Elephas maximus indicus: one gene and its partners. The protein of the gene in region 1 interacts with the protein of each later gene in a biochemical or structural test. Links are inferred from orthologs where the notes say so. Each region holds a gene or a part of one and is shown in the gene's direction. Other genes may lie near its edges. The genes, in order: UBA1, UBE2L6, UBE2E3 and UBE2R2.

Evidence for each region.
Region 2: of the proteins of UBA1 (region 1) and UBE2L6, one has a biochemical effect on the other in vitro, tested with the Homo sapiens proteins (2 studies listed by BioGRID). The link is inferred for Elephas maximus indicus from reciprocal best matches to the Homo sapiens genes UBA1 and UBE2L6.
Region 3: of the proteins of UBA1 (region 1) and UBE2E3, one has a biochemical effect on the other in vitro, tested with the Homo sapiens proteins (3 studies listed by BioGRID, with this or other methods). The link is inferred for Elephas maximus indicus from reciprocal best matches to the Homo sapiens genes UBA1 and UBE2E3.
Region 4: of the proteins of UBA1 (region 1) and UBE2R2, one has a biochemical effect on the other in vitro, tested with the Homo sapiens proteins (5 studies listed by BioGRID, with this or other methods). The link is inferred for Elephas maximus indicus from reciprocal best matches to the Homo sapiens genes UBA1 and UBE2R2.

What each region holds. Positions count from the first base shown.
Region 1 is NC_064846.1:124,611,746-124,619,764, reverse strand, and holds the start of UBA1 (ubiquitin-like modifier-activating enzyme 1), read left to right. Parts: upstream 1-4,909; 5' UTR 4,910-5,115; intron 5,116-8,019. UniProt on the Homo sapiens protein: Catalyzes the first step in ubiquitin conjugation to mark cellular proteins for degradation through the ubiquitin-proteasome system.
Region 2 is NC_064825.1:118,989,132-118,996,701, reverse strand, and holds the start of UBE2L6 (ubiquitin/ISG15-conjugating enzyme E2 L6), read left to right. Parts: upstream 1-4,411; 5' UTR 4,412-4,560; coding exon 4,561-4,587; intron 4,588-7,570. UniProt on the Homo sapiens protein: Catalyzes the covalent attachment of ubiquitin or ISG15 to other proteins. Functions in the E6/E6-AP-induced ubiquitination of p53/TP53. Promotes ubiquitination and subsequent proteasomal degradation of FLT3.
Region 3 is NC_064824.1:79,193,009-79,200,507, forward strand, and holds the start of UBE2E3 (ubiquitin-conjugating enzyme E2 E3), read left to right. Parts: upstream 1-4,462; 5' UTR 4,463-4,569; intron 4,570-4,705; exon of another isoform or gene 4,706-5,072; intron 5,073-5,271; exon of another isoform or gene 5,272-5,482; intron 5,483-5,526; exon of another isoform or gene 5,527-5,574; intron 5,575-6,098; 5' UTR 6,099-6,123; coding exon 6,124-6,317; intron 6,318-7,499. UniProt on the Homo sapiens protein: Accepts ubiquitin from the E1 complex and catalyzes its covalent attachment to other proteins. In vitro catalyzes 'Lys-11'- and 'Lys-48'-, as well as 'Lys-63'-linked polyubiquitination.
Region 4 is NC_064827.1:42,628,980-42,636,732, forward strand, and holds the start of UBE2R2 (ubiquitin-conjugating enzyme E2 R2), read left to right. Parts: upstream 1-4,557; 5' UTR 4,558-5,189; coding exon 5,190-5,366; intron 5,367-7,753. UniProt on the Homo sapiens protein: E2 ubiquitin-conjugating enzyme that accepts ubiquitin from an E1 ubiquitin-activating protein, and catalyzes its covalent attachment to other proteins by an E3 ubiquitin-protein ligase complex.

The sequences.
Region 1 (8,019 bases):
GACTGATGAAGAAGACAGAAGATGCAGATAAAGTACAAAACTAAAAGGAAATTTACTACAGTTGCAAAAGAGCTTTTAAAAATAATGAAAGGATATATTTGAAAACCTAGATGAAATGCATACATTCCTAGAAAAATATAAAATTCCCAAACTGTTCCATGAAGAAATAGATTACTTGAAATAAGTAATAAAATGGTAGTCAAAGGCTTCCCTCCCTGTCTGCCCCAAAAAGGGCCCAGATGGTTTTTAATAGGTGCATTCTACCAAACTCCCAAAGAACAGTTCCTATCTTATAAAAATTGTTCTAAACATTAGAAAAAGATCAAAAGATGGTTTATTTTAGGAGGCTAGTATAATCTTGGTCCCCAAAACAGATGAGACAATACAAGAAAATTTTCAAGCCCATTTCATGTATAGTTGTAGATACAAAAATCCTTAATAAAATATTAGCTAAATGAATCCAATAGTATATTTATCAAATACGTTTTGATCAAATAAAGTTTATCCCAGGAATGCAAAATTGAGTCAACGTCAGAAAAGCTTTATATATAGTCCTCTATTATCAACAGGAGCCCTGGTGGCACGGGTAAAGCACTCAGCTGCTAACTGAAAGGTCAGCAGTTCGAACCCACCCAGCAGCTCCACGGGAAAAAAGATCTGGCAATCTGCTCCATAAAGATTTCAGCCAAAGAAAACTGAATGGGGGTGGTTTTACTCTGTCCTATAGGGTTGCTATGAGTCAGAATTGACTTGGCAGCAGTCAACAACACAACAGTATTATTGTGGGAAATTCTCAGCATTTCTATGTGGAAGACTATAAAAAATTTTAGGCACAAAATGGCAACAAAATATTAAAAAAGGAACCCTGGTGGCACGATGGTTAAATGCTTACATACTAGTCAAAACCCACTCAGAGGCTCCTTGGCGAACAGGCCTGACTATCTGCTTCCTGAAAGGTCACAGCCTTGAAAACCCTTTGAAGAAGTTCTACTCTGCACACGTGGGGTCACCCTGAGGTGGAATCTACACAATGGCAACTAACAACAACATATTAACTGACTAAAAGGAAACAATAATCTCAACCACAGAAAAAACTTTGATAAAGCGCAAGAATCCATTAATCCATACTTATATAATTTTTTTTATATAAATAAAGGAATAAATGAGGAAACAAATGGAGGAGGGAAAGCTTTTCTTTACGATAGAATGTCGTCTAATAATTATAAAACAAATGATAAAACCCTCTGAATTTCAGTGGGTTAAACTTCTATGAGGAACAATATTTACATAGTATTAAAGTACTTCACCACCAAATACTTGCTAACTACAAAGGGAAAAGATAATAACTTTACAGTAGAGAACCTCGCAGATAGCATTTTAATCAAGGGATGAAAGTGAGCATCATCAGTATTAAAACTGTACACCACCTGATAAGATGAAATGAGAAGACAGCATCACTTCTGTGATACAGTGTATTCCTATCCAAGATGCAGAGCCCGAATCAAATCTGAGGAAACATCAGACAAACCCAAACTGAGGAACATTCTACAAAATAACTGTAATCTTCAAAAGTGTCAAGGTCATGAAAATCAAGGAAAGACTGAAGGAGACTAGAGAGGTGAGACATCTGAATGCTCAAATGTCACTTCTGATTGCCCTAACTACCCTATTTAAAATTCCAACCCCTCCTCCACCATACTCTCTATGCCCCTTCCTTGCGTTGCTTTTCTCCATAGCACTTCTCAACTTCTAATGTACTGTATATTTTATTTATTTTTCTATATGGTTTGTCTCCATCACTGAAGTGCAAGCTCCATGAGGGTAAGGATTTTTATCTGTCCTGTCCACCGCTGTATCCCTAGTGCCTAGAGTAGGGTTTGGCGTACCAGATATTGGAAACGTGAATAAATGCACACACCACAACTGTTCAAATCATTCTCATCCTCAAGACTCTATTTTTAAAAAGTTCCTGAAAATCCGTAAGTACACCAACCCAATAGAAAGGAGGCAAAGGACATGCACAGAAAGTTCCCAGAAAAAAAAAAAATGCAGTTATCTTCAAATCTGTGAAAAGATACTTAAACTCACTCATAATAAGAGAAATGAAAATTCTAATTACAGTGATTGACAAACATCCAAAAGCTTGACAATACACTCTGTGAGATTGTGAATAAACCGGCACTCTTCTATGTTGCTGAAGGCAATGCAAAATGCCTTTCCCCTCACCTCTCCCTCTACTTTTCCCCTCTTTCTTACCTCCACAAGCTTTTTTTTTTTTTTGCTCAAGTAGTTTCCTCCAACTCTCCCCTCTTGCTTGTCCAAGTCAAATTCGGCCTCAATTACTGCCTCTGAGACATTTGAAGGCAATCAGTTCTTCAGAGAAGAACTCTGACACATCCATGGCATCAATTTCCACCTCTCATGAGCTCAAATCCGTATCTCCAGCCCAGACCTATTCCCAACCCCTGAATTTCAGACCCGGTCCCCAGCTATTCACTCAACTGACACCTCTACTTGGATGTCTAACAGCAACAACAAAAAACCAAAGCTGTTGCTGTTGAGTCGTTTCCTACTCACAGCAACCCTATAGGACAGATTGGAACTGCCCCATAGCGTTTCCAAGGAGCGGAGCTGCTGATGGATTCAAATTGCTGACTTTTGGTTAGCAGCCGAGCTTTTAACCACTAGGCCACCAGGGCCCCATAATCATGTCCAAACTTATCATGTCCAAAAACACACTCCTGATCTTCCCCCATATCTGCTCGTAATGGAGTTATGTGCCATGTCAGTTGATGGCAACTCTATCCTTCCAGCTGCTCAAGCTAAAAGCCTGGGGGGTCAGCCAGGACTCTATCTTTCATGCCCTACATCTGATCTCTCAGCAAACCTTGGCATCCTTACCTTCAAAATCAATCCAGAATCATCACTCCTCACCACTTCCACTTTCACCATCTTGGTCTGATCCTCTCATCACTTCCTAGACTCTTACAGTAGCCGTTTCACAGATCTCGATTCTTCCACCTTTGCCCCTATAACCCTCTTTGTCCCTCCATACAGAGCAACCAGATTGTTCTAAAACATAATTTATATTATGTCACTTCTCCGCTTAAACCCCTTTTAAGGCTCCCTACGGATCTTAGAGTAAAAGCCAAACAAACATCTCAGCCTGGCTTACAATACCCTACTTGATTTGGTGTCTGATCTCATCTCCTAATACTTTCCCTTCCTCATTCCTCAAGGAGCCCTGGTGGCACAGTGGTTAAGAGCTCGGCTGCTAACTGAAAGGTTGGCTTGTCGAACCCACCACCTGCTCTGCTGAAGAAAGGTGTGACAGTCTGCCTCCCTTACTCTGTCCTATAGAGGGACTATGAGTCAGAATCAGCTCAGTGGTAATACGTTTAGTTTTTTTGGTTTTCCTCATTCCTCTCCATCTACACAGAATCATGCCACGATCCTTCCAACCTCAAGGCTTTGCACCTGATGTTTCTTTTGCCTAGAATGCTTTCCTCCACATTTACACATGGCTCACTTCCTCACTCCCTCACTGCTCAAATGTCACCTCCTCAGAGAGGCATTCCCTGACTATTTTAGACTGTGGGTATCAGGCAAGGCTTCTCTGAGGTGATGCAAGATCTTGACAACTGCAAGGGGACCCTTGCTATGTTCCTTGCTATATCCCCAGGGCCCTGCACTTAGTGGGCGCTCAATAAATCATTTTCAAATGAACGAATTTGGAGGTTGCTAACAGGGTATGAGATACAGAATTTGGGATAAGGTGATAAAGATATTCTGTGTTAAATAAACTCCTTGGCACAAATGTCATCTTTTCAGTGAAACCTTCACTGGCCACACTGTCTGAAATTGCAGCCTATCCCCACAGATTCCCCTTACCTTGTCCTGTTTTCCCCCATAGCATTTAGAAGTTAGCATATGTATACAATGTTATTGTTAAGTGGGCCTCAGGTATACAGAATGATGCCCTGTCCTGTGCCATCTTCATGATCATTGGTCTGTTTGAGTTCATTGTTGTGGCTTCTATGTCAGTCCATCTCATTAAAGGGTTTCCCTCGTTTTCACTGAGCCTCTCTACTTTACCAATAAATATTTATTTATATAATTCACACATTAATATATGTATTTAACATAAAAAAAATTTATTATACCAAAACCCGTTGCCATTGAGTCGGTTCCGACGCATAGCGACCCTATAGGACAGAATAGAACTGCCCCATAGAGTTTCTAAGGAGCGGCTGGTGGATTTGAACTGCCGGCCTTTTGGTTAGCAGCCTGAACTCTTAACCACTATGCCTCCAGGGCTCCAAATTTATTATATACAGATGTAAATCATTTTAATAAATACTAAGGCTCCAAATTTATTATATACAGATGTAAATCATTTTAATAAATACTAGCTAGGTTAAAAAAAAAATTTTTTTTATCATGTTAAAAAAATTTTTATCATGATAAAAAAATTGTACATTACACATAATTTATGTCACATGTTTATTATAATACATATTTATATGTGAAATTATGATTTTTTACTTATTTGTTATGTTTATGGTCTGTCTGTCTGTCTAGCTAGAATGTCAGTTCCATGAGCACCTGGCCCACAGTTTAAGCTCCATAGATGTCAAGTGAATGAACTCCTCTGGCCACCTGAGCCTCAGTCTCCCCTTCTGTAGGGTGGGTGTGCCTTTCCGTTTGGAAGCACCTCCACGTTCTGCTCCCTTCTCCCACTCCCCCAAGAGCACTGCGCCCGCGGCCCAGGTTTACATTTTCCCTTACCCTGGGAGCCGATGCCCACCACGTGCATCAGGCGCTGGCCAGACAGGACTACCACCCCCAGCATGCCCCGCGCCGTCCGGGACTACCACGGTCTGTAGGGGTGTCTGGGTCTGAAACGGGCGCTGGCTGCGCGGAAGCAGGGACAGGTGCCCCTCTAGCCAAGCGTCTGTGGTAGGGCCCAGCCCAGGGGACCTCTAAGGCCCCGCGCTTCTGAACTCCGAGCAAACTCTGGCTCCTATTGCACGACGGAGGTGATTTGCTCTTCCGTTGATCCGTGGCATCGGCTCATCTCTAGCAGGAAGGCGAGGCTTCCGCCCGGCCCAGGGGGTAAGATGGAGCACAGTGCCCCCAACCCTTGGACAGCATTTGGAACAGGGCGCTCAACTTCAGAATCCCCTAGTGGGCGCATTTGGAGGCTCCAGGCCCAGGGTAGCATTTAGGGGTGTCTGTTTTGGAAGGATCCTTAGGAGGTGGCATTTGAGGACTCCGGGTGGGATTTGGAAGCCTGTTTTGGGGCATACCCCCTCGGAGGCAGTGTTTAGGGGGATGTTTGGGGAGACCAAGAAGCCCCGGTAGTACAGTGGTTAAGTGCTCTGCTGTTAACCGAAAGGTCGGCCGTTCGAACCCTATCTGGGGGAGAAAGATGTGGCAGTGTGCTTCCGTAAAGATTACAGCCTTGGAAACCCTATGGGGCAGTTCGGCTTTGTCCCACAGGGTCTCTATGAGTTGGAATCGACGGGAAGGCAACGGGTTTGGTTTTTTTTTTCTTTTTGGGGGGCGGGGGGAGAGACCCTTAGGGTCCACGTTTGAGTACTCTGTCCATGAGGGAGGAATTGAGGTGTCCCCCAAGCAGGGAGGCGGAGTTTGAGGTTCCTGAAGTCAAGGCGCAATTTTGGGAGAGTTTATATTAGGAAGTGTCCCGCTGACAATGTTTAAGAACGTTCAGGACCGATGTGGCATTTGGAAGGTATTCATGGCCATTGTGACCTCTGATGGTTCCATGATGGGGTACTCTCTGCACTTGGGGAGCCAGGGTGGTGAGACTGAGCACGTCGGGGTCCACACGTTTTTGGGGAGAGGAACCCCGACCCCATGCTGTGCCCAGGGACTCCAGAGCCCGGTCTGCTGGGCTTTTCCTGAGAGGAGCAGATTTTTGCCTCTTTCACACCTGGTCCACTGTAAGTATTGAGTTGTGAATTATTCACGAGGGGGCGGGTCAGTGTGCTGAAGCTGGGTTTGGGGTCTGCCACACCAAACTAGAGCTTATTGACTATTCATGCAGGTGAGTAGAGCCTCATGTTTTCTGCGGCCTTTCTAAGGGCCCATTCCCACCCCATTGCCTTCCAGTCAATCCTCATTCATAGTGACCCTATAGGACAGACAGAACTGGCCCATAGGGTTTCCAAGACTGTAATCTTTACAGAGGGGCCCTGGTAGTGCAGTGGTTAAGAGCTCAGCTGCTAACCAAAAGGTCGGCAGTTTGAATCCAACAGCCGCTCCTTAGAAACCCTAGGGGGATGTTCTACTCTGTCCTATAGGGTCGCTATGAGTCCAAATCGACAGGATGGCGATAGATTTTTTTAATCTTTAGGGAAACAGACTGCCACATCTTTCTCCCACAGTGCGGCTGGTGGGTTCGAACAGCCAACCTTTCGGTTAGCACAGGAGCGCTTAACCACTGTGTCACCAGGGCTTCTTTTCCTAGGGGCATTGCGTATAATTCATGAGGGGCATGGCTTTTGCGGCCTCTTCTACATGATCCGTGGTTAGCTTTCCCTCGTAGGTTCCAGTGTATAAGCCTTGCATCTAGCGAAGGAGTGGAGCCTCATGCATTGTTCATAATTCCTTATGGCCCAGTATCCCATGTTATCAACAAAAACTCTGGATGCAAATCTCATCAATCCTTGCCAGCTGTGTGATCTTTGGCAAAGCTTTTGTGAGCCTGAAAAATGGGTATGAGGATAATGATAATAAAATTAGCAAACACTCATTTAGCACTTTATTAGCTCATTTAATCTTCACAACAACTCTGGGAGGTAGGTTATTATCACCTTTTATAGATGAGGAAACTGGGACACAGTTAGGCTAAGTAATTTGCCTAAGGTTACACAGCCAGTGAGTGGCTGAGCCAGGATTCAAACCCAGTCTAGTTCCAGAGTCTGCAGTCTTAACCAAGTGCCATAATGCCTCCCCACTCCTCCCCAATATAATAGTACTACCACTAATGTTAGTCATATAGCAGTGCCAGGCACTGTTCTAAGTGCTTTGTACATATTTACTCATTTAAACTCCTTCACAAGGTAGGTTACTATTATTATTACCATTTTATGGATGGGGAAACCAAGGCCCAGAGAGGTGAAGTGTCTGGTCCCCGGCCACACAGCCAGCAACTGGTGGCCAGAAATGTAAGGGTTTAAGTTTTTTTTTTTTTTTAAGGAGGTTACATTTGAGTTGAGACCTGAAGAACCGGAAGGAACCTGTTTCCTCCTCTGCAAAACAGGGCTAATAAAAGCACCACCTTCACGGTGTTTTCCTGAAGAGGATATCAGTGGCACAATGCATAGAAAGGACACACCACAGGAGCTACCACTTAGTAGGGGATTAGTTACTGTGGTCTGTTATTATTTAACAGAAATGTGTTGAGTTCTTACTGTGTGCCTGGGGCTTTGGCATATGGTTGTATCTGGTGACCTGGTAGACTGTCCTACTTATTTCACAGACATTGGTTGCCTTATCATGCTGTTTTCCAGTATTCTTCCGGGAGGGTGTTTCACAGCATTATTTTTTAAATAATGCTCCAAGTGGGGGTTTCTCAAGTGACTGGGTATACCCTCACCCAGAACTAATTTCATATTAATATAAATACATATTTATAAATTACCTTTATATTACTATGTAATATTTTAAAAATTTAAGTGTTTTTGTGCCAGCAGTGGTCTAATCTCGTCCCATAATTCATATCCTCTAATTTTCATAATAACTTATTTCAACCCCATGAGGTGGGTGGGTTCTGTTACTATACCCATTTTCAGTTGTGGAAACTGAGGCATCTGCCAAAGGCATGTAGTGAGTCTGGGTTTGGTGGGATCAAGGCAGTCCTGGCTCATGAGCAGTTCAGGGGTGGCGAGGAGGGGACATCATTCCCTCTGTGACTCTGCAGCATTGTCTTTCATTATTTATGAACCGGGAGGCGTGACCACATTGTCTCGGCAACTAGGCAGTAGTACCATA
Region 2 (7,570 bases), on another chromosome or scaffold:
GGTCTTTTTATGAGAATTTGAGTTCCGCATCCCACTATTCTTCTGCTCTATCAGGGACTCTCTGTTGTGTTCCCCGTCAGGGCAGTCATTGGTGGTAGCCAGGCACCATCTAGTTCTTCCAGTCTTAGGCTGGTGTATTCTCTGGTTTATGTGGCCGTTTCTAAAAGTCTCTTGGGCTCATATTTACCTTGTGTCTTTGGTGTTCTTCATTCGCTTTTGCTCCAGGTGGGTTGAGACCAATTGATACATCTTAGATGGCTGCTTGCTAGCTTTTAAGACCACAGACGCCTTGCACCAAAGTGGAATGCAGACCCTTCTTTTAATACATTTTGTTATGCCAATTGATCTAGATATCCCCTGAAACCATGGTCTCAAGATCGGCGTCCCTGGTCCCTGCTACTCTGGCTTTTTAAGCTTTTGGCTGTATTGAGAAAATTTCTTATTCCCTGCAACCTTTTGTCATCTACAAAGATGTGCATCTCTTCTACTCATTGTTAAAACCCCAAGTCCACAGAGTAGGTCCCTTTGCAGTGTCAGCACAGGGCCTCACACAATAGGTGCTCTTAAGTGTTGTAGATTGTATGAATAAATGACAGGGACTGGATCAGAGAGAGGAAGGAAACCTGGTGGCGCAGTGGTTAAAGCACTCAGCTGCTGGCTGAAAGTTTGGCAGTTTGAATCCACCAGCCACTCCTCAGGAGAAAGATATGGCAGTCTGCTTCTGTAAAGATTACAGCTTTGGAAACTCTATGTGGCAGTTCTACTCTGTCCTGTAGGGTCGCTATGAGTTGGAATAGACTAGATGGCAACAGGTTTGGTTTTGGTTTTTGGATATGTATGTATGTATGTATAGAGAGACAGAGAAGACAAATGAAATGGCTCATGTGTTTGTAGAGGCTAGCAAGTCCCAAGCTGGTGGGGTCAGGTGTCAGGCTAGAGGCTTCTCCTGACTCACATAGCTGCAGGGCTGACGAAACCCATGATTGGCAGGTAAGACCGCAGGCTGCTGAGTCATAGGCTGCAGAGGCTGAAGAATCCCAATATCAGTAGGCAATACTGCAGGCCACTGGCTCAGATCCCTAGAACCAGAAGTCAGATGATGATAAGCTGGATGCAGGATTCAGAGCAAGAGAGTGAGCTTTGCCAAAATATCCATATATGGTATGCAGGCCACACCCCCAAGGAAACTCCCCTTTCAACTGATTGGCTGCTTGCATCAGATCACAAAATAGAGGATGATTACATCAAATCACAAAAATGGAAGGTAACTACATCATTACATAACTGCCAAATCACATCATTATATAAATTCCAAACCACTGGGAATTATGCCCCAGCTAAGATGATACGCAACCTTAACCATCACAAAAACCCTACAGAGCCAAGTTCTACTCTAACACAAAAGGGGTTGCCATGAGTTGGGGTTGCCATGATGAGTCAGAGTCACTATGAGTCCGAGTCACCTCAAAGGTAACTGCTTTTTAACTCAGAAAGATATGTCATTGCCCAAAGGCAGAAAGCTCAGGAATCTCTGTTCCTCCCACCCAGCACCCCCTGGGCAGGCAACTGGCATCATTTAAATAATAATAAGTATTATTATTATAACTATCGCTTATTGCCCACTGTTCTAAATTCTTAAGTTCTTTACAAGTATCAAATTATTGCCCCTCACGTCTACCTGTGAGGTATATACTATCATTAGTCCCATTTTACAGATGAGAAAACAGAAGCATAGACAGGTTAAGTACTCTGCCCAAAGTTATTTAGCCAATAATGGTGGAGTTGGGATTCCAACCTGATTATTTATATCTTGGGCTTGCTTATAATTTTTGAAGCTCCTCCACTTCCATGAGCTTAGCTTTTCCACAGTCCTGGGAGGCAGGTAGGTCCACTATGAAGGGGTTAGGAAGGTTCCATGGCCCACCCAAGGCCATACAGTATGTGTGAAACCAGAACCCAGGCTCCTGGCTCCCAGCTCAGGGTTTGTTCTGACAACAAAGGTCCACATTGTGCAAGGATGTGACATATGGGTCACCCAGCTGTGCAGGACGGAGCTGGATCCATACACATATATACACACAATGCAGACACATATACACATTCACTTCCGGGCAGGCAGGGGCACTGGGGTCACAGCCTGCCTGCAGGAATGCAGCGTTTCTGGAATAGAAGGGAAGGAGAAACAAAGGGCATAGGCAGAAACTTTTGCTCCACATCATGAAACCACTTTCAGTTTCCATATATACTGCCATCATGTCTTTAATCAGGCTGTTCCCACTTCTAGGAACACCCTCCTCCCATGTTCTCACTCCAGCTAACCTATCAGACTTCACAACTCATTTAGATTTTTAACTCTTCCAGGAAAGCTCGCTCCTCACCCCAGGGCTGGGTACAGTGATGGCCCTCCTCATTTCCATAACACCATATGATTGCATGTATCTTCATGTTCACCTCTTTGCATTAAAAACACAGAGGCTACATTCCCTCCCCCCGTCCCTATAATCTGAGAGCTCCTTAAGGACAGAGACCTCACTTTCTTACTGTGGCATCCCCAGTCCCTAAGGGCAGTGCCTGGCCCATGGCAAATACTGAATATTAAGTGTTTGTTAAGGAACCAGCCAACGGCTCCTGGAGAGAAAGACCTGGTGATCTGCTCCTATAAAGACTACAGCCTAGAAAACTCTATGGGGAGCTCTACTCTGTCACATGGGGTCCCTATGAGTCAAAACAGACTTGAAGGCACTTAAAACAGCAACTGAGAAGATTGACCAGACATGGGTTCAAATCCCAGCTATTGAATTCAGTTTCCTCATCTTTAAAACAGAAATAAGTCTACTTGCTTTAGGGGATTTTAGACAGTGTCCTAATCATTCCTGGCATATAGAAGATACTCAGTTCAAGTTTGTCGAGTTAAACATCGTTTGTCCTGCAGATACATCCCACATCTGAGCAGAGAAGTCAGTTGGTACCAAGACAAAAACTGTGTGATACTGTTATGGATTAAATTGAGTCTGCCCCCAAAATATGTGCTGGACTCCTAACCCCCATGCCTGGGGATGTAATCCTGTCTGGAAATAGGGTTTTCTCTGTTATGTTAATTAGACCATACACAGTACAGTGGGCTCTAAATCTAATCACTTCTGAGTTACAAAAAGAGTACATGAGATGCAGAGAAATGGGAACACCAGGAAAATGGGGGACACGCTATGTGTCAATCATCTATAAGCTAAGGGACCAAGGAATGTTCGGAAATACCTACAAGGAAGGAACTGATACCACCAAGACCCCGATTTGGACTTTTAGCCTCTAGAACTGTGAGGAAATAAATTTCTGTTCTTTAGAGCCACCCACTGTGGTTAAAGCATTAGGTAATTAAAACAGGTACCTAACTCTGAATCTGGTGCTCAAAATATGCCGATTTCTTTCCTCATCTGAGCTGAAGTGGGGGGCTGGGAGGGAGGAGAAGAAGGGCTCAGAGTCTAGGAGATTCTGGGAGTCCCGAGTCTGGGAGGCTCTTTCTCAGACACTGCTGCTTGGTACTCAGGGGCTGCTGTTTCGCGGTGGGCTCAGATTCGGCTGGGGCAGGGGTCTCTGCCCTTGCCCAGAGGGGTGGAGACGCCTGCTGTGTATGGGGGCACATAGTAGGCCCCCAGTGTGTAATGGATCAGGGATAATATAAGGGAGGCTGAGTAGCTTCCCCTGGGGGAAGGCTCCTGAAATCCGTCTTGGGGCTTTCCCACCCAGCTGTTTCCCAGACGAGCATGAGATCGGCGCTGATGAAATACTAAGCCTGGGTTTTTTGGTGGGCAGTCAAGGACCGAATGAACAGGCGACCGACTCGCAAAAACAAGAGAGAAAGGGTCCAAACAGCGCCTCCTTGTGGGGCTTTTCACCAAGCACCCTTCTGGGAGAAACATCCTTGTAGGTCCGCCGCCGAATGCTGGACAGCACAAAGAACCCCAAACTCTCATTTTTAGAGATGGGGCACTGGGCGCAGAGAGAAGAAGGGTCCTGTCCAGGCAGGTCCAAGAGTTTGCTAGACGAGGGGTTTAGGGCAGTGGTCTGACGGTGGAGGCCGCCGGGGGACCTGTCGCGGAGCAGAGTTGCATCCCTGCATTTACTTAGGGTGAGCGTGTATTCAGGACGACGAGGAGCCGGCTGATGGAGAGGAGTCCCTGGGACAGTCCCGGGCAGAAACTAGCACCCGGATGAGCAGACCCCAGCCCCGCGCTCTGCGCGCTCACCGCCTGATGCAGAGCGCCCCCTACCGGGACTCAGAGACCAGGCACGCCGCGCGCTCCAGGGACCATCCGTGCCCCCCAACAAAGATCGCGAGCTGTCCGGATCCGAGCGCGCGGCTCTGAGGCCTGGCCGGGTTCTCCCCGCAGGGCCCCCTCTGTCTTCGAAAAGCCAGTGGGGAACAGGTCTGCTGCGTCCGGCGACCGCACGGGCGGAGCGGAGCGTAGGCGGGGCTCCCGGAGGTGGGGTCCCCGGGGCGGGGCGCCTAGTCTCCTCGCAAGGTCGGCTGGAGTCCGCTAGTGCCCCACACTCGGTTCCGAGATGTCAGCGAGGAAGCGGGTGGCGAAGGTAACTGCGTTTGGGACACTCCTTCTCCCCCGCTCCTCCTCCCTCCATCTCTTTCCCGATTCCCTCCCCCCTCCACCCCTTCCTCGGCTCCCTGCCCCCTCCGCCCCTTCCCGGGCTCCCTACTCCCTCCATCCTTTCCCCTGCCGGCTCTCCGAGCGCTCGCAGTAGTCCAGGTACTGGGGCCGGCTGAATGCCTGTCATCTCCTGCTCCCTAACCCCAGGGGAGAAGGGGGTCTGCGAGGGGTCAGGGAAGTGTTTTTGGGGGGAGGGGGCATATGGGGTGTGGTGTCGCTGGTTCCCTGAGCCGTGCTGGGGGTGGAGTGAGCCGATCGGATTCCCCCCCCGCCCCCCCAACTGGTTTCAGTTTCACTTCTGCCAGAAACTTGTGAGAACATTTACGTGCGTCTCTGGTGCGGGGAGGGTTTCCTGGCCTCATCCTGGTGGCAGGCGCCCTGCTGTGGGTGGGGAGTGGGCTATGCACAGAGATAGGGGACAAGGTACTTTCCTCGGAATAGTCTATGGCCCGTCCTCTGGGCTGATACCTGCTTGACTAGGGTCCAAAGCAGCATGGGGTGCTGACCCGGAGTAGGTCAAAGTTCCCTGAGCGCTCTGTGGAGAAGATGCTGAAGCAGAGCAGGGAAGGCTCCTGGAGACGGTGGCGCGCGCCTGCCTTGTTCCTTGTTCTGCAGTTGCTGTTCAATGCCTACTGTATGCTGGCCCTGTTCTAGCTGGTAGGGAGGCAGAGGTGAACAAAGGACACAAATCCCTGCCTTCCTTGAGCCTTCGTTTTAATCAGGGACACAGTTTGAGATGAGGTCTGGAAGGATGGGGATGGAGCAAATTCCACCAGGAGGTGGGAAAATCCTGGGTGGTTGGGGGGGGCTGGGGTGTAGCTGGAGATGGAGAAAAATCCTGGTGAAGTGGATCTGACACCCCCAGACTCTGAGTTCCTCTAATCTGCAGAATGGAGTGGAGGGGCTGAGGGGAGTGCCTGCTACCCCCAGCCTCTGAGAAGAAGAGGGTCTCAGTCTGGGTCACCCAGAGTAGGCTCAACCCAGAAGAACTGAAATCTGAAGGGCGACTGCTAAATGGAGCAGGGGTTTTTCCAGTAGGAAAGAGATGGAAACCAGTATTTATCACACTGGAGTTCCTGTGTGGTGCAAACTGGTTAACACACTTAGCTGCTAACAGAAAATTTGGCAGTTCAAGTCTACCCAGGTGCCTTAGAAGAAAGGCTTGGCAATCTACTTCCCCAAAAATCAGCCATCGAGAATCCTGTGGAGTACAGTTCTGCTCTGACACACATGGGGTGGCCGTGAGTTGGAATCGATTAGATGGCAGCTGGTTTTATTTATCACACTGGCATCATTACGTGCCAGGCAGTTTACATCAGTTGTTTCATCCAATTCTCACAGCAACCCTGTACTCCCATTTTACAGATGAGGAAATTGAGGCTCCGATAAAATAACTCATTTATCCAGGGTCACTGAAGAAGGAAGAGATGGGGCTGGGATTTAAGCTGGGTCCTCAGGACTCCAAACAGGCTCTTTCAATGGTCACTCTACTTTCATTTTCTCTTCCTCTAAGTCAGGTGATTTCTTAACAGGCCTCAGGAAGGAGCCTTGTGTCCTAGCTCAGGTTTCATCATCCTCAGGTGTTGCGAAAGCTTTGGCAGAACTCACCTGTAATAGATAAAATCCGAAATGTTCCTGTTAATAGTAAAGTCAGGGAAAAATGTCCATTCCAGAGCTTCTCTATTCACCCTTGGGCTTCATTGTTGCCCCCAAAATAACAGATGATACCGGAACCCGATTTGTAGTAAAAGATGCTTCTAGTTTGGGGCAAAAAATAAATGAAAAGTCATAGAATCTGGGTAGAAGGTGTGAGAAGCAGTGTGTTGGAGTGAAGGGGCGGGGAACAAAGGCGTGTTTATATTTTGGGAGGGGGAAATAGAAAGTTCGGATGGTCTACAATGTTAAAGGACCCCTTCTCAACTGGGAACTGGGTTTGGGGAACGTTCTCTCTGCCCTTGTTTCCACCAGAGCTTCTCAACCTCCTCACTATGGACATTTGGTCGGATAATTCTTCGTTGTGGGAGGTTGTCCTGTGCACTATAGGATGTTTAGCTGCATCCCTGGCCTCTACCCACTAGATGCCAATAGCATTCCTGCCTCCCATTTATGGCAACCAAAAATGCCTCCAGATATTGGCAAATGTTCCTGGGCGGGGGTGTGGAGGGGGGGGGCTCCGTAAAATTTCCTGTAGTTGAGAACCAGTGGTTTATACCCATTTGGTGTTTCACAGACGTATGACCTGCCCTTGAATGTCATTTTTATGTTGTTTTGAAAAAAATGTTCTGTCATCAGCAAAGGGCGAGAGGTTGCTTGGTCAGATCCATTTGAGAAGTACTGCATGCTATGGGCTCACGTTTTGGGGATTCACAATATGCAATAACAAATTAAAGGCTCTGGAAATCCCTGCAGTAAGGAAACCTGTTTAGCCCAGTGTTTCCCAAACATACTCATCCATGGAACCCTTTTCCTGTAATAACTATTGACTTTCCATGGGACATTTGCCCTAATTGGGCCTGTCTTGGTGCCCCTCAACTTCTCTGCGTGGTGGACTCCTGTTTATTCTGCATGGCCCGGCTCACCATGTGCAGCCCCTGTAAGCCTTCCTGTTCCCATCTCTCTCCTCATTAATGCATCCACACACGTCATTCTCGTAATTGCATTCATGTTTCCTCCATTACTCCATGGTTGTTCTTGAGGCTTGAGCCATGTCGTGGTCCCTAGAGCATGCTCAGTCAATGGCTGTTGAGGTCATTGGGTGATGGCCAGGTGATTGGGCCACATTTCTGAGAAGGTGAGTCCCTGCCTGTCACTTATTTCTCTGCTTGGTGTATAGAGTTCTTACCTGCTGTGGTCTGCCTGAGTTGTTTTCCTTCCCCAACCCTGGGCGAGTGGAGTCTGACAAGGCTGAG
Region 3 (7,499 bases), on another chromosome or scaffold:
CTCTTGATCACAGGCTGTGAAGATCGACAAATTCGAAGACTGGCAGGTAAGCTGCTAGCTGAAGTCCCGAGAACTGGAAGTCAGACAAACAGGAGGCAGCTGCAGGATCCAGAGAAGGCAAAAGCCAGAACATCCACTTATATTCAAATGCAGGCTACATGCCCAAGGAAACTCCCTTTCAACTGATTGGCTACTCACAGCAGATCCCATCATGGGGAAGATCACATATAAACATGGAGAATCACGGCCCAGGCAAGGTGACACACAATCAACCATCACAGTGGGTAATTTAAAAAGATCTGGTTCCTTACCCTAACCTACACAGTTGCTCAATTTAGAAACTTCTTAGGCAACTCAAACTATTTCTCTCTTTATGTTTTTCTGTAGACGCACACACGCTTGCACGCGCACACACACACACACACGAGACCGACTGAAAGGCTCAGGAGATAGCATCTCCCAATCTAGGGAGACCTAAGGATTCTGGGGCCTGCCTTGCCCAGAGCCCAGTCCACCCCGTAAGAACAGGTCCCTTTTGGTCACAACATTTAGTGGGAAAGGGAAGAGGAGGTGGTGATATCTTTTGCAACTGGATTTAGTATCTTTTCTCTTACCACTGGCTCTCTTTCAGGGTGAAAGGTTGGCAGGATCCTCATTCCAATAACAGAAAAACAGGAGACTGAGATGGAAAAACCTTCCTGTGGTAGCTGGTGTCTGCTTTGTGGTGCTATTTTGAGGGGCCTTATGGGAAAAAAATTTATTATATGGCTTATGGAATAATTTGCATTAGGTTACATCTGTATGCCCCAGGGGGGCCTATAAAACTTGATCCCTAATTTCAAGGATAAAACCAAACCGAAACCTATTGCCATCAAGTTGATTCCAGCTCATAGTGACCCTATAAGACAGAGTAGAACTTCCTCATAGGGTTTCCAAGGCTGTGATCTCTACAAAAGCGCATTGCCACATCTTTCTCCCTTGAACTGGCTGGTGAATTTGAACTGCTCACCTTTTGGTTAGCAGCTGTCATGGATTGAATTATGTTCCCCAAAAAGTGTGCCAACTTGGCTAGGCCACAATTTCCAGTATTGTGTGATTGTCCACCATTTTGTCATCTGGTGTGATTTTTCTACATGCTGTAAATCCTACCTCTATGATGTTAAGGAGGCAGGATTAGAGGAAGTTAACGAGGCTGGACTCAATCTACAAGATTAGGTTGTGTCTTAAGTCAATCTCTTTTGAGATATAAAAGAGAGAAGTGAGCAGAGAGACAGGGGGACCTAATACCACCAAGAAAGAAGCACCAGAAGCATAGTGTGTCCTTTGGATCCAGGGTCCCTGTGCTGAGAAGCTCCTTGACCAAGGAAAGATTGATGACAAAGACCTTCCCCCAGAACCAACAGAGAGAAAGCCTTTACCTGGGAGCTAGTGCCCTGAATTCCAACTTCTAGCCTACTAGAATGTGAGAGAATAAATTTCTGTTTGTTAAAGCCATCCACTTGTGGTATTTCTGTTATAGCACCACAAGATAACTAAGATGGCAGCCAAGTGCTTAACCACTGTGCCATGGATTTCAAGGATAGACATGGCAAAAACAAGATAGAAAGAACTTCACATTAGAAACAACTCATAATTTACAAGTTACTTCTGGTCAATGTGGTAATGTCTTGTTACCCTGGAGGAGAGCTGTGTCAACCACTTGAAGGACTCCATTAGTCAGGTGAAAGAAGGCATTTGGGAACCTAATATTGTGGGAGAAGGTTGCTCCTATTCCTGCCCTTACGGAGCCATTCATTCTCTTTATCAGGACTGTAACAATATATTAACTACTATACAGAGGGTTGCTATGAGTCAGAATTGGCTCCATAGCAGCGGGTTTGGTTTGTTTTTTGGTATTTATTGAACAGATACTACGTGCCAGGACTTTGCCAGGAGCATTATCTATATTATCACCTACTGATCCTTCCAGGCTCTGGTTATTATTACTTCTTTTGATTCATATCACAAGCTGAATTAATAATTCCATTAAACCAAAACCAAACCCATTGCCATCGAGTAGATTCCAACTCATAGGGACTCTATAGGACAGTGCAGAACTGTTCTATAGGGTTTCTAGGAAACCCTGGTGGCATAGTGGCTAAGAGCTATGGCTGCTAACAAAAAGCTCAGCAGTTCAAATTCACCAGGTGCTCCTTGGAAACTGTATGGGGCAGTTCTACTCTGTCCTATAGGGTCACCATCAGTTGGAGTCTACTCGACAGCAACTTTGTTTTTTTAATAATAGGGTTTCCAAGGAGTGGCTGGTGGATTCTAACTGCTGACCTTTTGGTTAGCAGCTAAGCTCTTAACCACAGCGCAACCAGGGATCCAGTAATTCCACTGATAATTATTAATTGATAATTAATAATTCTCCACTCTCACCCTGTTCACTTTTTTAATAAAACACCAGTCTGTAGACTACATTTCTGGCTGCCTCACTACACAGTGAGCCCATTAAAAGGACCCATGTTTCACTTGATTTCTCCAGCATTTAGTAGTTTAGCCCTGGTGGTGCAGTTTTTAAGAGCTACAGCTGCTAGCCAGTTCAAATCCACCAGCCCCTTCTTGGAAACAGTATGGGGCAATTCTACTTTGTCCTATAGGGTCACTATGAGTTGGGATTGACTTGATGGCAACAGGTTTGGTTTGGTTTTTTGGAAGTGTTCTGTTGAGTGAATGTTGAGTGTAATGTCTGCCACGACTTCAAACTCATTGACGAATCATGGAATTTTTGAGCAACAGAGGACTTGGAACCTTTGACACAATCTCCTTTTACGCATAAGAAACATTAAGTTGGAACAAGTAACTTGCCTGAGGTTACACAAACTAATAGGTAGGATGAGAATTAGACTCTAGTTCTCTCGCTTTCCAACCAATGCAGTTTCTTCTGCAGAAAATACTCTACCAAAATACAACGAAATACCCTTATTCCCTTATCTCTTTGCCATACCCAAAGCCGAAGAACATTTGGGCCTTCAGGTTATTTCCCTGGTATTTCCTAAAACATCCCACTTTTGACATACAGTTTTCCTTTAACAGTCCCCAGTATCAAATAGCACAAAGCTCAAACTCCAAATTAGCCAGCTTTTGCTGTAGAGTCACAATGTGTCACAAAGTTGAGGAAACCTTCTGTCTATATTTGTACCAAAAACTCTTCCTACAAGCATCCTTTGGTCCAGCTAAATCAAAATGCTTGTCCATAACACATGCCACGGTCTTGCCTCACAGTTTCTTGAGACATGCTGTTCATTCTGACTGAAATATCCTTCCTCCTTATCAACCTGGTGAGCTTTAACAATTTGTACCTGACCTTAATCGCATGATACTTGAATGAGTAAATTTTGTGTGTCCAGCACCTAGCAACATAGCCCTCAATGAAGTACCCTGTGTCTTTAGAAAATGAGAGAAACGTAACTTACTGGTCAGAGTGGTGAACAACCTTTTACCAAAACTTAAGTAAAATGAGGAAAAACTTAACGAAAAATAAGTAAATGTGTTCTTTCACTCAGTCTTCTTCCTTTCTTTCCCTTAACTCTCGTTTGTCTGTTGTGGCTGCTATTCTCACTCCCTCTGTGAACTCCATATTCTCCCAGCAAACCAGCTCCTGGACACTTGAGAGGAATCCACAAATTCCTTTGAGGCTCCATCACTGGAACAAGTTCTCAGTAGCTAGAGAAGGTCTGGGCTGCTAACAGGAAGTTTTTGTACTTCTGGCTACTTTGTGCCTGGGGCAAAAACTGCAAAGTCCACCTGGAGACTCTACAGGATAGAATGGTAGAACAAAACTAACATCCACTATCTCCATTGAATGCTTATCTAGATATCACTCTTTCCAGAACTGGCGTCTGGCTTAGTACTTCAGAACAGTCTCCAGACCCCCGTGAGCTTCCTTCTTCCACCTTTAAAAATTTTCAGCAGGACATTTAAAAATTGTTTTGGATTTAAGTTTTCAAGCCTCCCCTTTGGAAGCGACAGCTGCAGGCTGACGGCCAAGGAAAAGCAGAAGCTGGTCCTCTGGTCTCGAAATCCCTTTCACTCCTCTCAATGTCCAGGACCCCATCTAGCCCCTTCGTCTTGCTCACATGAGGAGGAACAGGTAGGTTTCCTCCAACTGCGTCGCTGGCCTCCTTAACACCACCTCTCAGTCCTCCAGAGCCTGGGGCAGCTGGGGACTCCCAGCCACGCGCTCAGGGCCCTTGCCTAGGCGTTGGGACCCTGGGGCCCATACCCGACCCTGCGCAGGCTAAGGGGATGTTGCCAGCAGTAGGGGTGACCTCGGCTCGCCCGCCCTGAAAAGCCCTCCAGCCTCGGCCCGCGGGGCGGGTAGCCTAATGGGCAGCCTCCGCCCGGAGGCGGGCACAGGCCGGAAGCCACCCCGCGGCACAGCAGCCCCGCGAGACGGCGCCCGCGCCCCCGTCCTCTCCAGCGCCGGCTCCGCGGCCTCGGCCTGCAGGGGCCAGCCTGTAGGGGCCCCGCCGCGCTCTTTGTCCTGGACGCGCGCGGGCGGACGCGTGCGCCCCCCGGGTGAAGGTAGGCGCGGAGAGAGCGCGCGGGAGCGCGCGGGAGTAGCTCGCGCCCGCCGGCTGCCGGCGGCGCGCGCCCCTCCGCCAGGCAAGCGGCGAGCACGCGCGCCGGCCCGCGTCCGCCCCTCCCCCGCGCTCGCCTAGGAACTTGCTGACTGCGCGGCCGGGAGGAGCCGAGCCGGGCGGCGGCGGCGGGAGGCCACAGTGCGCGGGGGTCTCCCGCGTCCCCTCCGCCTCGCTGGGAGCTCGCGCCCTCGCCCAGCCGAGCTCCCACCCCCCGTTTTTTCCCGAAGGCGCTGGGCGGCGCCACCCTCCGGCCGGAGCCCGGCACTACACAGCCCCCTCCGACTTTCAATGTTCCACACTCCCCGGCCAGAGCCTCCTCGGCTTCTTTTTTTCCCTCCCCCCCCTTCCCCCCCCAACTGCCTCCATTTCCTTAAGGAAGGGTTTTTTTCTCTCTCCCTCCCCCACACCGTAGCGGCGTGCGAGCGGGCCGGGCGGGCGGCCGAGGTAAGGCAGCCGGGCCGGGGGGCCGCGTGGGGGGCGGCCGGGGCGGCGGCGGCGGCGGTGGGGGAGGGGGCGGGGGCGGGCAGCTTTGTTCGCGCCGGGCGCCCGCGCCGCCGGTGTCCGCGAGCCGCGGCGGGGCCGGCCGGGCTGCTCGCATCACTTGGCGCCCGGCGCGGCGAGCGCTGCCCACGGCCCCCGCGCGGCCCTCCCCACAAAGGGCCGCGGAGCTGCGTGGCGGCCGCCGCCGCCGGCCGCGGTTCGCCTCCACGGGCGCGGAAATTTGTTGCACTTCTTGGGGCTTTGTTTGTTTGTTTTTCCTGGGATTTTTTTTTCTCGTTATTTTGGACAAAATGTCGGTCCGTGATGTAAAAATTGAGCGAGGAACCTTGGTGGCATTGGGAGCTTTGCAGAAGGTGCAGTTTGGATTCTGCTTTTCCCAGGGTGGCAGCTCTCTCTTGGCCGGATGAATCTTCGCTGCTGGCCGTGGAAACGGCTAGAGCAGCTTGTTAGTTGATTTTTAAATTTCTAAATGTTGTGTTTAAAGCCTTACGTGCAGCGAGGAGGAATCGCCACGTTAAATAAGCATATGGGTGATTAACGGGGTATGTTTTCCTCTCGGAAAGGCAATTTGGTAGCTTTGACCAATGTCAGTGTGTAAATATTTAGACGTTATTAGTGACTTTTTAACATTTTTCAGCGAGATCTGTTATTTACAGTGTGTCATATGTTATTAATGCTCGTTGCCTAAGTTCCCTGGCAAATCTGTTTCATGCCTTCTGAGAAAGTAGACAATTGATAGATTGTCCAAGGAATGGAAAAAAAAAATGTGAGTGGGTTTTCTAACTTGAGTCCGGTAAATCCTTGAACGGTGGCGTTGTGAGACACATCGCCTCCCCTTGTAACCTTGTGTGAACACTTTTGAAGCCTTTTTATTAAAATTCGATTTTAATTGATTTATAGAAAATAAAATGCTATTGGTTTATTTCTTAGACTTAACCTTTCCTACCCCCCTATTTTTCTCTTTAAAAGTTTTCCAAGAAATAACTTCACCAAGATGTCCAGTGATAGGCAGAGGTCCGATGATGAGAGCCCTAGCACCAGCAGTGGTAGTTCAGATGCAGACCAGCGAGACCCAGCCGCTCCAGAGCCTGAAGAACAAGAAGAAAGAAAACCTTCTGCCACCCAGCAGAAGAAAAACACCAAACTCTCTAGCAAAACCACTGCTAAGTTATCCACTAGTGCTAAAAGGTAATGTGTTAAAAAGGGTTAAGCACATTGTCAGGTTGTCTTCCAAATGGTCGGACACTTTGTTGGTTTTAGATCAGTAGGAATAGTTCAAAAAATGCTTCACGATTGGTCTTATTTGTATTTGAATGAGTTGTCATTCTGTAGATGATATGTAAACCACTTCCATAGAATTATAGTTTTAAGCAAACTTATTCTGTACTTCAGTAACTTCAGCAAGAATGTACTTGAATAAAGATTGGACTACTATTCTGACATATTAAGGAGTTGGTGAAGGGAAATTTGTGAGCCCAAATTAGAGGTACAATGGGGATGTTTACTTTTTGAGTCATACTCTTTTCTTTATTGAAGTTGACACTTCTGAAGGTCACCAGTGCCTTTCCATGAAACTTTAGTGATCCAAAATAATCACATTTGCTGGAAAATCTATAAATTCAAGGTCTTGGCTATATGTGAAAGCAGATTTAAAATCGTGCTACAAACTGTTCTCAGTTTCACAAACAAGTCTTTAAGTTATGCATCCCAGGTATACTTTAAAATGATGGTTATTCCTCTGTGCCTGTGAGGGCACATAAAACTGCAAGGCAGCCGTTTACAGTTTTAAGTGTCACTTGGCTATTGAAAACTTTCATCGTCCTTGTGCAACTTTTTACACTAAAACTTGTGGAGACACTTGACACATTAATACTCAACAACAAAAGAAACATTTTGTTGGATATAAGTGAAAAATTGCTTGTTTCATGTTGATTTATATGTATTGGAGAGAAAAGATCCTATCGGTGGGGCTCCATCCGTGGGGGTAGTTGTGGAATATCCATGAACTCTAGGAATTATGTGGACAGAGATACATCAGATATATCTATTGAATTAGTATTGACATTCTGTTGGTTTTTATTGATCGCAACTAAAGGGCAAAGAAAATACAAAAACTGATCAAATATTGTGTTTTGTAGTGATTCTAAAATATTCATTTTTCTACAGATTTTCATATCTATTGTATAATAATCAAGCATTAATAACTTGAGAATGTTTTATTAAATAGCAGCAGTCTTTGAAATAATTTATAATTCAGTCTTTTTGAAGAACGTACTAAATTTTAAGTTTTCAAAGCATTTTTCATTTGAATAAAATCAGAGAACTGCTTTTTTTCCTAACTCAAGGCTATATATGTTATTACCGCTTCCC
Region 4 (7,753 bases), on another chromosome or scaffold:
AGAAAACTCTAGGAAGCTGTTTCTGCCATTTATTCTTTTGACAAATATGTTTTGAGCACTTTTGAGTATTGTAGTAGCTGGTATACAGTTATGAACAAGACCCGTTGTCCTTACAGAATTTATAGTCTTGAGTACCTACTGTATGCCTGCCAGATCATATTAGGCAGGGGAAGGGGTGGGTGGGTGGAAGATTTGTGATTTTTTGATTACTGATTGTCTCCCTGCCCTTGGCTGTGAATCCATAGAACAATTGCTTAATGTTTACTTTGTGTTAGGTGGTGTGCTGCTTGTTGAGGATATGGGGATGAATAAGACATAGTTGCAGCCTACTAATAAACAATGTCTTACCTGCTAGGATTAAAAAGGCATGAGACCAGTCCTGTGGAATTCAAGTTCCTCTGACCTGAGGATGGAGATCCTTGAATATACAGCTTGTTCGCACACTGGGGTGTAAGCCTTCAGACAGGTATGTTTACCAGCTACCCTGCTTGGGGCCATGATTACAGTGGATACTTGGTATGAGTTTGTGAGTCGATTTGAGCCCTGAGAGCAGCTTCCGATCTGGGTGCCAGGTGTATGTCCCAGTGAGTTAGACTAAGGGACCTGCCATCCTCTGGGTCAGGGTGGGGCTTTTATGAGTTTATGTGGGTGAAATGTTTTGAAGATTAACTTTCTGCCTATTTGTCTACTCATAGCTTTGTTATTAAAGGTGTCCACATCACCTCCCACCTTTCTGGGTCAGCAGTCCTCTTGTCCCTAAAGTGAGTGGTGGGGGGAGGGGAGCCAGGACCAGTCATAAGCCATCATTTTTGAGAAGGGGCTGCATTGACTAGGACATTCCCTCTCCCTTCAGGGAAACTCTAATTACAGTGGAGTTTGGTCTCAAGACAGAGAATGGTGTTGAGGGCTAGGGGTGATTCTTTAAATACTGAAACCTCATCCAGTGGCGTCACTAGGGTTGGCGTCACCCAGTGCAGTAACTCATGGTGTTAATCCCCCCATGGACCTCCTCCTATACCAGACCATATAAATCCTTAGTAATGTTTATTATAAATTTTAATCATAGAATAATGTGACTAACATAGTTACAAATTACTTAAGTGTAATATTTCTTAGATCATATGAATAACCCAGAAACCCAGTGCCGTTGAGTCGATTCTGACTCATAGTGACCCTATAGGACAGAGTAGAACTGCTCCCCATAGAGTTTCCAAGGAGCGCCTGGCGGATTTGAACTGCTGACCCTTTGGTTAGCAACCGTAGCACTTAACAACTACGCCACCAGGGTTTCCAGATCATGTGAATACTAACAACAAAACTGTTTTGTAAAATCTTTTTACATTGAATTACATTATTAGTTACAATATTATTACTGAGTGGAAGCCTTTCTTTTTCTCCTTCTTTTCCTTTAATTACTACTTCATTCTCAAAAAAGTTATTGATATAGGTTCACAAATACTGATTACCACAATATTGTAGCTAAAATGTCGGAAAATTTGACAAAATCAGTGACTATAAACACACTGGTAGCAACGAAAACAACAGCATGTGCTTTTAGGGTGGACAGGCAAAACCAATTTGAAGCCTCACTGTAATTGGGTCATTATGACAGCTCTGACCACATTAGAAAGTTCAAAAAGTAAATAAGCAGCGTTTTAGTTTTGTAGGGATATTGATGCATGTAAGCTGGGCTTATGAAAAATGTCTTTGTTATAACTAACTACAGGGATTTTTTAATGAAAAATAATAAATTTCTGCTGAAACACTGCACGAAATTTTTATAGACACTCATTTTGGTGTCATGCCCTCTGACAGTGTACCCGGTGTGGCCTGCACCCTCTGCATCCTAGTGACACTACTGACCTCATCTTTGAGAAAAGAGACAAAAAAAAAGGGGTTCCTTGAGTGTGGACTGCACATAATGACTTTCTTCCAAAGAGTATAGTATGGAAGGGGAGGGGGGATAATAACTTTATGGTGGAGAAATCTGACAAACACTACCTTAGCCAGGTGACAAAGGTCAATTTTAACAGTAATAAGTCATGTTGATAGTATCTACCCTTGACATGTGATGAAAATGGCACTTTACCTCTGTGATCTTTCTCCCAGAAACCTGTAACTCCAGTCTGATCATGAGGAAAACATCAGACAAATCCCAAACCTGACAGTATTCCTTAGAACCGTCAAGGTCATCAAAAACAAGGAAAGTCTGAGAAACTGTCACAGCCCTGAGGAGCCTAAGGAGACATGGCAACTAAACGTAATGTGGTATCCTAGATGGGATCCTGGAACAGGACATTAGGTAAAAACTAAGGAAATCTGAATAAAATATGTTCTTGTTGTTGCTAGATGCTGTTGAGGTAGTTACACATCAAAGCACCCCTATGTACAACAGAATGAAACACTGCACCTCAGTCCTCAAAATGACTTCTTTGCTTTTGAACACTTTAAAGAGGTCTTCGGCAGCAGATTTGCCCAATGCAATGTGTCATTGGATTTCTTGACTGCTGCTTCCATGGGTGTTGACTGTGGATCTAAGTAAAATAAAATCCTTGACAACTTCAACCTTTTCTCTGTTTACCAGGATGTTGCTTAGTGGTTCAGTTGTGAGGATTTTTGTTTTCTTTATGTTGAGGTGTAACCCACACTGAAGGTTGTAGTCTTTAATATTCATCAGTAAGTGCTTCAAGTCCTCTTCACTTTCAGCAAGCAAGGTTGTGTTATCTGCATATCACAAGTTAATGTGTCTTCCTCCAATCCTGATGCCGCGTTCTCCTTCATATAGTCCAGCTTCTCAGATTATTTGCTCAGCATACAGAGTGATTAAGTATGGTGAAAGGATAAACCCGACACACACCTTTCCTGATTTTAAACCATGCAGCATCCCCTTCCCTTGCTCTGTTCAAACAACTGCCTCTTGGTCTATGTATAGGTTCTTCATGAGCACAATTAAGTGTTCTGGAATTCCCATTCTTCATAATGTTATTCATAATTTGTTATGATCCACACAGTCGAATGCCTTTGCATAGTCACAAAACACAGGTAAATATCTTTCTGGTATTCTCTGCTTTCAGTCAGGATCCAGCTGATGTTAGCAATGCTATCCCTGGTTCCACATCCCTTCTGAATCTGGCTTGAATTTCTGGTAGTTCTCTGTTGATGTACTGCTGTAATCACTTTTGAATTATTTTCAGCTAAATTTTACTTGTGCGTGATATTAATTTTAGTTAGTAATAAGGTATCAATATTGGTTCATTAATTGTAACAAATGTACCATAGGAAGGAAAAGTGTTAATAATAGGGGAAACTGGGTGCTGGGTATATGGGAACTCTGTTGTATCTTTTCGATTTTTCTGTACGTCTAAAGCTATTGTAAAAAATAAAGTACATTAAAAAAAAAGGGGTGGCGTCCAAAATACAGCTATGCCTTTAAAAAATTTTGTATTTCTTTAAAGCTCCTATTTATGGATCATTTACCATGTGCCGATCACTGTGCTAAAAACTGTACACAGGTGATCTCATTTAATTATAACAATAATTGCTTGTGTTAGGTGTAATTAACCACCTTTTACAAAACTGATGAAACAGGGAGAGGTAATGTAATGTAAACGGTGGAGCCAGAGTTGAAATAAAGATCTTTCTGTTCCCCAAGTTCGGAGTCTCTTGGAACACTCACATCCTGGCTTTTCCAGAAAATGTTTAGGCAATTATCATAAGACGAGCATTCCTAAGAGAAAGGGATATTCTAAACTCACCGGAACTAAAGACTGTCTCTACTTCAATCATGATTATCTCAAAAGTCTGTCAGTTCCAGGCTGAAACTTCAAGCTGAAAAGATCTGTAGGAGTCAACGTCCAACCGTGGTACTTCATTTTACGAATTGGTAAACTGAGGGACAGCGACAGGACCTGCCTAGAATCTCGCAGGGAAGGCCCAGGAACCCAGCTTCAGTCTCTGTCATTACTCCCCACCCCCTTCCTCTTTGTAGTTAAGAAATAGGAACTCGCCCATCTATCTTCCCCCATTTCTCAGATGGGAAACTAGCAGTACCCCTTCTCCCCCCGTTGGATGACTTGCCCAAGGACACACTGGCATGACGGCTGGACCTAAGCGCCTACTGGGTGCAGCGCCCGCAGAATGAGTGTCACGGGGAGGGGCCTGCAGAGGACTGGAGCTTGTCTGAGGAGGGCTACGCAGGGCGCAGGCTCGTGTTGGTTCGTAGCAGGGAGGAGGGTGCGGACTGTTCTAGGACTTGAGGTCCCTTCGAGGGTGTGTCTTTGGAACCGCGGCGTGGAGCCGCACAACCGCCACTTTGGGGGCAAGGCTGCCCCCTGCGACCGTCCTCGGCTCCTATCGCTGCTTGGCTCTTTAATAGCCGGGACCACAATCCGGCGTCACAAAGCGCTGCCACCGCGCTGGACCGACCAAAGGAGGCGGGGAAGTGGGAGGAGGAAGAGGAGGAGGAGGACGAGGAGGGAGGGGCGCGCGCACGCGCGTCCGGCCGCCAGCCGCTGAGAGCCGCCCCCCTCGCGGCGCGCGCCCCTCCTCCCTCCCTCCCTCCCTTCTTCTCGGCTCGGTCGCTCCCGCGGCGCGAGGCGCTCTAGCTCTTCTCCTCCTTCTCCGCTGCCATCGCCCCTCCCCCCGCGCAGCCGCCGCTGCCGCCGCCGCCGCCGCCGCCGCCGCCGCGAGACCCCCGCGCGCCGCACTCCCCCTCCCCGTCCGGCCCCGCGCGCCCTCTGGCTCCGGCGGCCCCCGAGGAGAAGGAGAGGGCGAGCGAACGCGGCGCTCCCGGGCTGGCCCGGCCCCCTCCGCTCACCATCGCCGGCCCTCCGCCGCCTTCCTCCGCCTCCACCTCCTCTCCCCCCCCTCAGTTGAGGCCCCCTCCGGGGGGGGGAGGCCCAGGACCGGGAGCGAATTCCCCCTAACTCCCTTAACCCCTTCCCCTACCCGGCCTGAGTGTGAAGAGAAGGGCCCGGCCCGGCCCGGCCCGCGTCGTGTGTGAGGAGACCCGGGGCGGCCCACGGGCCGTCTGGGGCCTGGTCCGGCCCGCCTGGTGGGCGAAGACCGGGGCCCGGTGCGGCCCGGCCCGGCCCGAGCGCGAGCGGAGGGGAGGGGCCTGCTCGGCCCGGCCGGTGCGTGAGGACTGGGGCCCCGGCGCCGCCGCCGCCGCCGCCGCCGCCGCCGCCGCGATGGCCCAGCAGCAGATGACCAGCTCGCAGAAGGCCCTAATGCTGGAGCTGAAATCCTTGCAGGAGGAACCGGTGGAGGGCTTCCGGATCACCCTGGTGGACGAGTCCGACCTCTACAACTGGGAGGTGGCCATTTTCGGACCCCCTAACACCCTCTACGAAGGCGGCTACTTCAAGGTACCCCCCACCCCCTCCGGACCGGGCTTCCCCAGCCGAGCCCTGCTCTCCCCGCCGCTCTCCGCTGTTTGCCGGGCAGGAGTGGGAGCGCGGGTGAGTGGAGGGGGCTCCTCATCTTGGCAGCCCCCTCCCTCTTCGGTGGAGGCAGGAAGGCCTTGCTCACCAAGTGCCTTTTCTTTGTCATGGGGGCGGGGGCGGAGGGGAGGCCATTCTGCCCCGGGAAATGGGAAAGCCTCTCCTCCGACGGGGGTAGTGGCTCCTGGGGAAGGAGAGCTCTTTGTTTTGTTTCTTTAGCTGAGGGTGTATGGGAAGAAAGGTAGTCTGTCTGTCCCTTCTCGTCCTCTCATCAGAACCATCCCTGCGCAGGCTGGAACTGCCCCAGAGGGCAGGGTGACCTGCACTTATTGGGCTTTTCTGTTTGGTGGAGGTGGGGGTGGGGAAGGGGTACTAACTTGTCATCCTGGAGGCTGCCTAGTAACCTGACATTTTGAGGATTTCCTGGGGAGTGGTAGTTCAACTTTGCATTCCAGTGGGCAGTAATGGGGATTAGGACCCTAGGGTGGTAAAAGAGAGTGTCTGCGTTTTCTTGCCGTTATTCACTTTAGAGAACTTTAATTTTGCCTCCTGTCTTCATGCTCTGTTTACTTCAGTGGTATTTCAGAGTGCCCTTTGTCCTCACCCTGCCACTGAGTTTACTTGGCTCTTTTTCCTACACGTAGAAATAATCTACATATAGAAGGTGGAACATGTCATGGAGGGAGATTGATAGTTCCCCACTTTAGGGACACAAAATTGAAACCTTTTACTCAGGTGGTTTACTCAAGCAAATAGGGTGGTCTCACGGTTTAAAAGTATCTGAGGTGAGGTGATTCACTGGGAGGGAGGGCTGGCTCCTTAGACAGCGACTGTAGACATGGTTTCTGTTGTTTTCCACGATTTAGAACCGTGGTCATTATCATTCCTGAATCTAGCTTTTTTTTTTTTTTTTTTTTTTAACTCCTAAGGTAGATAGTTTGGAGATATGACTTAGTTCTTTGTTTTTATTTTAGCGTTTTTGCAGAGATGGCTCACAGATTGAAAGTTTGAATATTTTAAATGGTGGGGACAGAGACAGAGGAAATGAGTGCTTAGGAATCCATTTAATTTAATTTTTTTATTTCCAAAATTAAATAAAAGAGAATCGGTGAGCCAGTTTTAGTTTGTTTTGAAGGGAGGGACTATCTTGGCACAAGTTTTAAGTGAGTATCTTAGTCATGTAGTTATGATGTGTATTTTTAGGACTACCCAGTTACTTAACCCTTGTTTTCTAAAGGTATAAGCCTCAGTTTCAGGCTTGAAATTGGGTCAACTTTGTAGAAAATTTGAAGGATTGATGTGGCAGTGTTTAATATTCAAGCCTGTGGTAGTCACTTAATAAGTTAGTAAAAGAGCATTTTCATAACATTGTATGAGAGCAGTATCCTTACCAACTATGTGTTTCATCTATTGTGGTGAGCATACTCAATACTTCTCAGATGTAGGTATTTACAATCACTAAGTAAGTGTACAAGTTATTAGTGATAAATTGGAGAAAATATTGCTGGGTCTATGTTGAGGCCTCTTTACTGTGTTGTCACATACAAATTTTCATTTATAGATGTTGGAAAAATATTTGCACAAAATGGAATTTATGTGTTGACTTTTTTAGCGAGGTAATACTTAGCAAAATCTGTTGGTTAACTAGTGGAATAAAGTTTAATTTCCTAAAAAGTATAATTCTTTCGGACAATTAATAGTCAAGGTACATGAGTTCTGTTCAGAATAATCCCATTCCGATGCAGGTTGTTTTTTTTTTTTTTCCTTTAAAAAACAAACTCTGAAAGAAAATAATGAATTGTAAGTTGTAGTATTTTTCCCTAACTGGGGAAGGAATATGAGTCGGAATCGACTCGACGGCACTGGGTTTGGTTTTTTTTTGAGGGGGGAAGGAATATGGAGAGCCCTTTCGATTTGATGAAATAGTTAGTGTGGAAGGAGGATTTGTTGGAACGTACATTGATTAAATACTTTTAAACTTCAGTCCTGTTTAAAATAATGGTTTAATCTCTCATTTCCTTGTGTGTGCTAGATTTCTTAATCCTTGAGGTTTTTTTTTTTTTAACTTTTAGTTCTGACATAAAAATATTCTTTTAAAAATTCCTGAACAGGTTTCATAATCTAGTCTTGTGTGAGAAATTTAATTGCATTTTCTTCTGTCCTTTATTGTATGGCTTTTAATGCTATTACTCCTTCATTGGAAAAAGGCAAATTTATGGTCATGAGTAGTTAATACTGGTGATAGATTTAAAACCATTGTTTTCTTTCACTGCTTCTGTTTTAAAACAAGGCTTTTGGTGTGTTCTACTAGA